2 linked regions of the Tribolium castaneum genome follow. The protein of the gene in region 2 purifies or fractionates together with the protein of the main gene of each other region. This does not show direct contact. Links are inferred from orthologs where the notes say so. Each region holds a gene or a part of one and is shown on either strand. Other genes may lie near its edges.

The links. The genes of interacting proteins can lie anywhere in the genome.
Region 1: the proteins of 128up (region 2) and Ntmt purify together in Homo sapiens (affinity purification with mass spectrometry; 3 studies listed by BioGRID and IntAct, counting the BioPlex papers as one, with this or other methods). This does not show direct contact. The link is inferred for Tribolium castaneum from reciprocal best matches to the Homo sapiens genes DRG1 and NTMT1.

What each region holds. Positions count from the first base shown.
Region 1 is NC_087398.1:11,363,597-11,366,754, forward strand, and holds Ntmt (N-terminal Xaa-Pro-Lys N-methyltransferase 1), read left to right. Parts: upstream 1-1,318; 5' UTR 1,319-1,477; coding exon 1,478-1,494; exon of another isoform or gene 1,495-1,497; coding exon of another isoform or gene 1,498-1,502; intron 1,503-1,554; coding exon 1,555-2,019; intron 2,020-2,075; coding exon 2,076-2,316; 3' UTR 2,317-2,339; downstream 2,340-3,158. Other genes in the region: uncharacterized protein LOC659581, read right to left, coding at 1-2, 51-659, 707-860, 909-1,039; RpL35 (large ribosomal subunit protein uL29), read right to left, coding at 2,361-2,592, 2,639-2,775, 2,947-2,949. UniProt on the Homo sapiens protein: Distributive alpha-N-methyltransferase that methylates the N-terminus of target proteins containing the N-terminal motif [Ala/Gly/Pro/Ser]-Pro-Lys when the initiator Met is cleaved.
Region 2 is NC_087399.1:7,814,784-7,819,431, forward strand, and holds the start of 128up (GTP-binding protein 128up), read left to right. Parts: upstream 1-1,467; 5' UTR 1,468-1,580; coding exon 1,581-1,622; intron 1,623-1,674; coding exon 1,675-2,380; intron 2,381-2,431; coding exon 2,432-2,561; intron 2,562-2,608; coding exon 2,609-2,731; intron 2,732-4,455; coding exon 4,456-4,558; 3' UTR 4,559-4,648. Other genes in the region: probable ATP-dependent DNA helicase HFM1, read left to right, coding at 1-945. UniProt on the Homo sapiens protein: Catalyzes the conversion of GTP to GDP through hydrolysis of the gamma-phosphate bond in GTP. Appears to have an intrinsic GTPase activity that is stimulated by ZC3H15/DFRP1 binding likely by increasing the affinity for the potassium ions.

The DNA of each region.
Region 1 (3,158 bases), on a different chromosome or scaffold from region 2:
TCCTAAAACCATTTCTGACTTCATAGCCAACAATACAATAACACACAAACATTGAAACCATTTAGGCGATATGTAAAAATCCCCAGTTCGGGCACATCCTCAAAGTAACCAGTCACGTATCCCGCCTTCTTGTACTCATTCCAAATAAACGGGTACGAGTTCACGAATTTCGTGTTTGCGAACCGTTTTCTCGTATCAGGGAGTTCCAGTTCGGTCTTCCCCGTTAAAATCGGTATTAGGGCTTGCGGGGTTCCGTCCCCGATTATGTTATACCCTTGTAGAACGTCCCCGTGCAATATTTCAGTCAAAAACTTGTAGCTTTTGGGCAACTTTCGCACGAAAGAGTTGCGCGAAATTGAGTCGAAACCGAACATCAAAACGTTGAACTTCACAGCGTCCGAGGGTAGTTTACTCCAACTAGTATTCTCCCAAATTTTTTTATCGAGGCGAATTCCGGTCAAAGTCGCCGACCATTGGGCCTTTTGCCCCCGACACGAAACTTTGACTACATCGCTCGCTTCGAGTTTATAGTAGGAGTCTGAGTAGGTTGTTTCCCCACTGGTTGACTCAAAATCATTGACTCGGATTATATCAGTGAAAGAACAAGTGACGCGTCCGTGTCTCGCCTTAATTTCGTCCTGGATTCGACACTCGCTACCCTTGAATCAGCGTTTGAGAGTTGTGCTAAAATTCGGCAAAACTTTACTTGGCATTTGACCCAGTCCGGCCCTGCCGATGAACAGTCAATTGGGGGCTCCTCATGGACGAATTTCATCATTTCGGGGGAAAATACCGGCAAGTTGGGCTGTTTGCAAGCCAGGGAGCTCGCCTGTGAGTGAATCAGTTCGTCGATTTTTTCCCTAAAGGCCACAAATTCGAATTTACGAAAATAACTCATTCATACTCACAATCGGAATTTTCGGTCGATGTCATTTATTGGAGAGTCCCGTGTTACTATAAGTAACATCAGAATACCAAAGGCTGAAGAAATGGCCAGAAGAAACACTTTTCTGATTTGCATTGTTCTAATTATGCGCATTTTGTAACTAAAACCGTCCACTACCAACACGCCTTTAATAGCATTTGGGGTGCCTTATCACAATCATGATAACGAAAGTATTGTTTTCAACGCTTTATGGAACAAATCCATTGAATTTGTTACGAAACACAACAAAACATGATGACAAACGCCGGTGGGGCTATTTGTCACACCGATTTGTCAAATTGGATCATAGAATAAGAAAATAGCACCAAAAATCATGAACATTACAGTCGACCAAACAATCGCTGCCAAATTGGGTGCTTTCCGAAACGTCACCCTGACAAAAATCAAAAAGTTTGGACAAACTCACCGACTTATTTGTACACAATTAGTGATTCGCCCCCACGACTGCCTGCCATTTTGAGTGATATTTAATTATAATTTAATAAGCTGTATTAATTTATTGCGATTTATGGAACGTGCCAGTTTTACCAAATGTCAAAAAATGATAGGTTATGTCGTAAAGTGCCCGCCTTTTTCGTTTCATTTTCATTTTGTTAATAATTTTTAAGTGTGAAAATGGAAGTGAGTAGTGCGTCGACAACCGATGATTCATTTTACTCAAACGCCGTTCAGTATTGGTCCGAGATCCCCCCAACCATCGACGGTATGCTCGGCGGTTTCGGGCACATCTCTCAGACCGATATTAGGGACTCCAAATTGCTGCTCAAGCAGCTGTTTAACTCGAAGGAGCCCCCAGGCCGGGGGCACGCCCTTGACTGTGGTGCCGGCATTGGGCGCATAACCAAGCACCTCCTTAGCGATTTTTTCGATCAAATTGATCTAGTCGAGCAAAATCCAAAGTTTCTAAGTCAAGCCGAACAGTATTTAGGGCCCAAGTTGCAGGAGAAGGTTAATTATTATTCTGTGGGGCTCCAGAGTTTCAAGCCCGAGAAACAGTACGATGTTATCTGGTGCCAGTGGGTTTTGGGGCACTTGACAGATCTGGATTTAGTTACGTTTTTAAAGTCGTGCCAGTAAGTGTTTGCCACTTTTGGTTACAGTTTTTATTTGAAATTAATTATTCTTCCAGAAGTGGACTTAAACCAAATGGTGTCATAATAATCAAAGAAAACATTTCGTCAAGTGAGGAAATTGACAAAGACGAGCGAGACTCTTCAGTCACACGCCCCTTGTCTTTATTCCGCCAAATATTCGCAAAAGCTGACTTGGACTGTTACCGACAAGTGAAGCAACGAAACTTCCCCAAGGGCTTGTACACGGTCTACATGTTTATCCTACGACCCCAAAAACAACACGTACCTGATGAATAAAATGAAATAACTATTTTACGAAACGTTTTATTTAATTGTACAAATTAAGCTTTCAACGCGAACTTCCTCTGGGGGTAGATCGACCTCTTGTGGAGCTCCTTGGGCGTCTTGATGCGTCTCTCGTGTTTGGTGAGCGCACGGCGCAAAGCCCTGGTCTTCTTAGGTCTCAAATCCAGAGGCTTGTATTTCTTGTTCTTGTACAACTTCCGCAAATTCTCTTTTTGCTTCTGGTGCATCACAATGTACACGCGAGCGATGGCTTTGCGTACAACGCGACTGTAATTCGAGCATTACTTGGTGGCTGAAGCAAAACAACACTTACATCTTGGACAGTTTCGAGGGGGCGCCGCCCGTCACTTTGGCCACCCTGAGACTTGTGAGCTCGGTTTTGAGCTCATCGAGCTGCTTGGTGAGCTCCTTCTTGTCGCGAGTTCGCAGTTCGGAGCACTTTACCTTACCCTGAAAAAATTGTAGGTTAGTTAACCTAACGGACACAAACACGAAATTTGCGAGGAAAGAGGGAAATAACGCAATGCAAGAGTCGGGGGACGGTAATGGGGGCGAAACTTGGTCGTTTGGTTACCAGATGATCCGTAAATTATAAAATAAACTCAGATTTATTTAACTTACCATTCTGCCTTCCGCAACAACAATCTGAAAGAATTTACGTCGGTTAAGTTGGCACTACGACACCAGTTTAAATTTCTTAAATTATAAAAATAATAGTAATAGTACAAGGACCGAAACTTATGCTTCCGAAATAACAGTCTAATTATAAATACTTTGCTCAGCTGTTGCCTTTTGTATCAATTAATTAACACACTCTAAATTCAACAAAATTT
Region 2 (4,648 bases):
GGGGAAAAAAACAACACTGAAAATATGAACATATTTGAGGATCCTTTTAACGATTCCCTTGAGTCGGCTTTGATGAAATTCGATTGTGGTCCACCTTCGGAGCTAGAAAGTGATAAATCAAACAGTTTTGATAAAGAAGGTCTTTTTGAAAATGAGGCGAAGGAAGTGAGACATCCTTTTGATTGTCGAGAACCGTCCCCGCCTGAAATGCTAAGGAAAAATACAAACCAGATTTGTCGAAGTCGGTTCTTTCAACCAATGGCTGAGCCCAGTCATTATCAAAACCGTTCCGATGATAGTTTTCTGACACAAAAGTCACACCCTTACCCGTACCAAAGCCGTGCACCTGCACATATGTTTCCAATAAGTAATGGTCGAGGTTTTGAGACACCGAATGATTTTTACAAGATGATGTGTGAAGAGCGTCCTATTAATCGTCATTATGTGGATTTGGGTCAAAATCCTTATTTAAACATTTCACAAGATTTTCCCGACAGGAGGGAACACTACAACAGTCAGAGACACCTCTTTGATGGTACTCCTCGATGTTATCCCAGGGGGCATATGGATGATTGTGATGGTTATGCCTATATTAGACGAAACATGGATAGGGATTATGACCCCTTTGACTATAGGAATAATCCTCAGTACTATAAACCAGTACCTAATATCGATTTCTATGAGAGGTCACAAAGGAGTTTTGCCCGAAATCGGGAAAATATTCCCTTTCAGGATTTTGATCTTGATCGAAGTAATAGTTATTATGATGAAAGTCATTTACCTTTGTCTTATCCCGAATTGCCCAGTTCCCAGATGTCAAGACGAGAGTATTATATGCCGTCTAATTCATTTAACGATGTGTATAACAATAAGCAGTTGATAATGCAAAGATTCTTAAATTGTGTAGGTTCAGACCAAGAAAAAAGAGTGAATTATTTCCCTTAAAAAACAGCTTTCGAGTTACTTTTGTTACGGTTGTCGAATAAACGACATTTTGATAAAGGCGGCCATTTATTTACTAAAATTACGTTCGGCACATTATTTTATAAGAATATTAAACAGTTGGTTGCAAAAGTTGTGAATTTGGGATTTTTTAAATTTTTGTCAAAGTTTTGGTAAAAACTGAAAATACAGGTGTTTGCAATCGGTCTATATCTGAAATATAGTGAAATCTTCCGAATAACGGACACTTCTTTACAACGGACTTTGTTGTAGGAACGTAACAAAACCTACATTAAAATTTCCACCACCCATTACTGGACATCTCTCCACAACGGAGAATTAAAAATTCCCCAATTGGTGTCCGTTATTGAGAGGTTTTACTGTATTGGATAAATTATTGAGTTGCAAATAACATTCTAAGCGTTAAATTCATACTTTTTGAATAACGTATGAGTTCCGAAAAGTATCACTTGGTTATTTTATTGCCGAATTCACAAAAAAATGACAGAATTCAAAATTAGCGCTTTTTTATATGTCAAAATTCCACAGCCGCATGCGAGCAACGTGTATCGCAAACTGCTTGGTTTTCGCACAAAACGTTATTATTATCACTTGAAGCGCCTACATAATCTAAAAAAATGAGTACAATTTTAGAAAAAATCGCCGCAATCGAGGCGGAAGTAAGTACTTGTGAAAAAACCCAAAATTTCCTCCCCTAACCCCACTTTCCAGATGGCACGAACCCAAAAAAACAAAGCCACCGCTGGCCATTTGGGGCTACTGAAGGCCCGTTTGGCCAAATTACGCCGCGAACTGATCACCCCCAAAGGGGGCGGTGGCGGCACCGGCGAGGGCTTCGACGTGGCCAAAACAGGGGATGCCCGCGTTGGTTTCGTGGGGTTCCCCTCCGTCGGTAAATCCACCCTACTTAGCAACCTAGCGGGGGTTTACTCCGAAGTGGCCGCTTATGAATTTACAACGCTTACGACAGTCCCCGGCTGTATTAAATACAAGGGGGCTAAAATCCAGCTACTCGATTTGCCGGGGATTATCGAGGGGGCGAAGGACGGCAAGGGGCGCGGCCGGCAGGTCATAGCCGTCGCGCGGACGTGTTCGCTGATTTTCCTCTGTTTGGATGTTCTGAAGCCTTTGCATCATAAAAAATTGATCGAGCATGAGTTGGAAGGGTTCGGCCTGAGGCTGAATAAACAGCCCCCCAATATTTATTTCAAGAAGAAGGACAAGGGGGGGATCAATTTGAACTGCATGGTGCCCCAGTCTGAGCTTGATTCGGACACGGTTAAGTCAATCTTGTCCGAGTATAAAATACACAATGCTGATGTTACGCTAAAGTATGACGCCACCAGTGATGATCTAATCGATGTGATTGAAGGGAACCGAATCTACGTCCCGTGCATTTACATACTCAACAAAATCGGTATTTCCCCGAGTTTTTGCGTTTATTGTGATTTAGTTGGCTGAATTTCAGATCAAATAAGTATTGAGGAGTTGGATATTATCTACAAAATCCCTCACTGTGTTCCTATTTCGGCCCACCACAGGTGGAATTTCGACGATTTGCTTGAGAAAATGTGGGAGTACCTCAAACTAGTTAGGATGTAATTGAGTAATTTTTTGTTGACTTTTTTATAACTAATTATTTTAGTTACACAAAACCGAAAGGCCAGCTTCCGGATTACAATTCCCCAGTGGTTTTACACTCAGAGCATACATCTATTCAAGACTTTTGTAATAAACTGCATAGGAGCATCGCGAAAGAATTCAAATAGTGAGTTTTTTTAATTAAAAATGTTATTAACTTATTACAGACTAAGCTAATTACAATGTAATCTGATTACTCTGTATTCAATTACACTGTAATTGTATCTTTTTATTAGTCATAATTAGCTATGTGTTAATTAAAATGAAAAGTAATCGATTAATTTGCCAATAATTAGATAAACTAAAAATGATTTTAGTCTCAATTTTCTAAAGTGAAGATTATGAGTGGCAATGTTTTTTTGTTTAAATCTCTCAAAAAATGTTAACTTCTGAACACCCGCTAAAAAATTGTTCGTGTATCATGGCAAAAGATGTCCACTGTCCATATTTTCAGGAAAAAACAAGTATTCTTGTGTTGAAAGAAGAAAATTATGATGATATAAGACATTATTATTAAATGTGCACAATGGAATCCCTATTAACCCCCTTGGAGGTGGAACTTCCAAAAATAACTAATATACCCCCTTGATGATGTCAAGTAAATTTGACGCCAAAATTTTAATTTCGTAGTTTGTTTCACACAAACCTATTTGAAATTTGAATTTACCACATTAAAAAAAATGAACAAAATAACTGATAACAAACTAAATAATAATTATGTCATGTAATTTACTAACATTTTTTATAGAAAATTCTAGGATAATAAAGCCCTAACAACTAAATGCTCGGACAAATAAATATTATAAGTTATAACAAACACAGTAAAATCACTGCTGTAGATGACAGAAACTAAATAGTTAAGTAACCAAAGATAATATTTTTGCAACAAAAAGAAAATTTTGGTTATGAAGAACGTCTCATCTCATAATTTTAGAACAAAATTTGAGAAGTAAATAAATGGTTAGATAAAATATATACGTATTTGTATTTTTAGTAATAAACCCTGGAAGAAGTTGTTTATTTTCACAGCTAAAGTAATTGCTACACCGTACGTAAACATTGAAATATTTGTTTATTTAATTTGAGTAAATTTAAATTTTCGACGAAGAAGAGTCCTGGTTTTGCAACAATGTGAAAATACATTAAGTTATCATAAACTAATATATTTCCACGAAAAAACTGTTCAAAATATTGTGAACGAATTTGATATGTGCCAAGTAAAAAAATAGAAAAATCCTAGAAGATTGAGAAATATTACAACTATAATCAATTTTTTTGGCAAAAAATTATGGCGAAACATCGCAATTAATTAATAAATTAATAACAATAATAAATGAAATATATAATTAATCTTTCGTAATTGCAAAACAAGTATTCTTGTGTTGAAAGAAGAAAATTATGATGATATAAGACATTATTATTAAATGTGCACAATGGAATCCCTATTAACCCCCTTGGAGGTGGAACTTTCAAAAATAACTGATATACCCCCTTGATGATGGAATTTTTAAAAAGCATGATACAGGTGTTTTAAATTAAATTTTTTTACCAAAAATCCTACCAATTTCATAACTTCTTAAAAAAATTAAGACTACACTAATTTTAAGCCTGGGGGTGGAATTTTCAATAAATTTGAAACACCTGTTTCTTCATTTTTAATCGAGATGTCATACCAACTTTCATGATATAATTTCAAACATTTTGTTTAACAAAAAAAAATATGTAATAATTAAATAAAAATTAATCAGATTACATTAGGTAACTATGAATGAACATTACTTTAGTAATTTGTTACAAATTACATGGCTAATTGTTAATTAGATTACATTTGGTTTAAACTATTTTTTTCAGTGCCTTGGTTTGGGGCTCTTCAGTGAAGCATCAGCCTCAGAAAGTCGGCTTGGATCATATTCTTTGCGATGAGGATGTTGTACAGATTGTTAAGAAAGTTTGAGCTCCGTTTTTGCGAAATTGGAGAAAAGTTTGGAAGCAAATTGTTGCAGAAGATACTTGTAAGTATCTGTATTTTTAATAAACACGATTC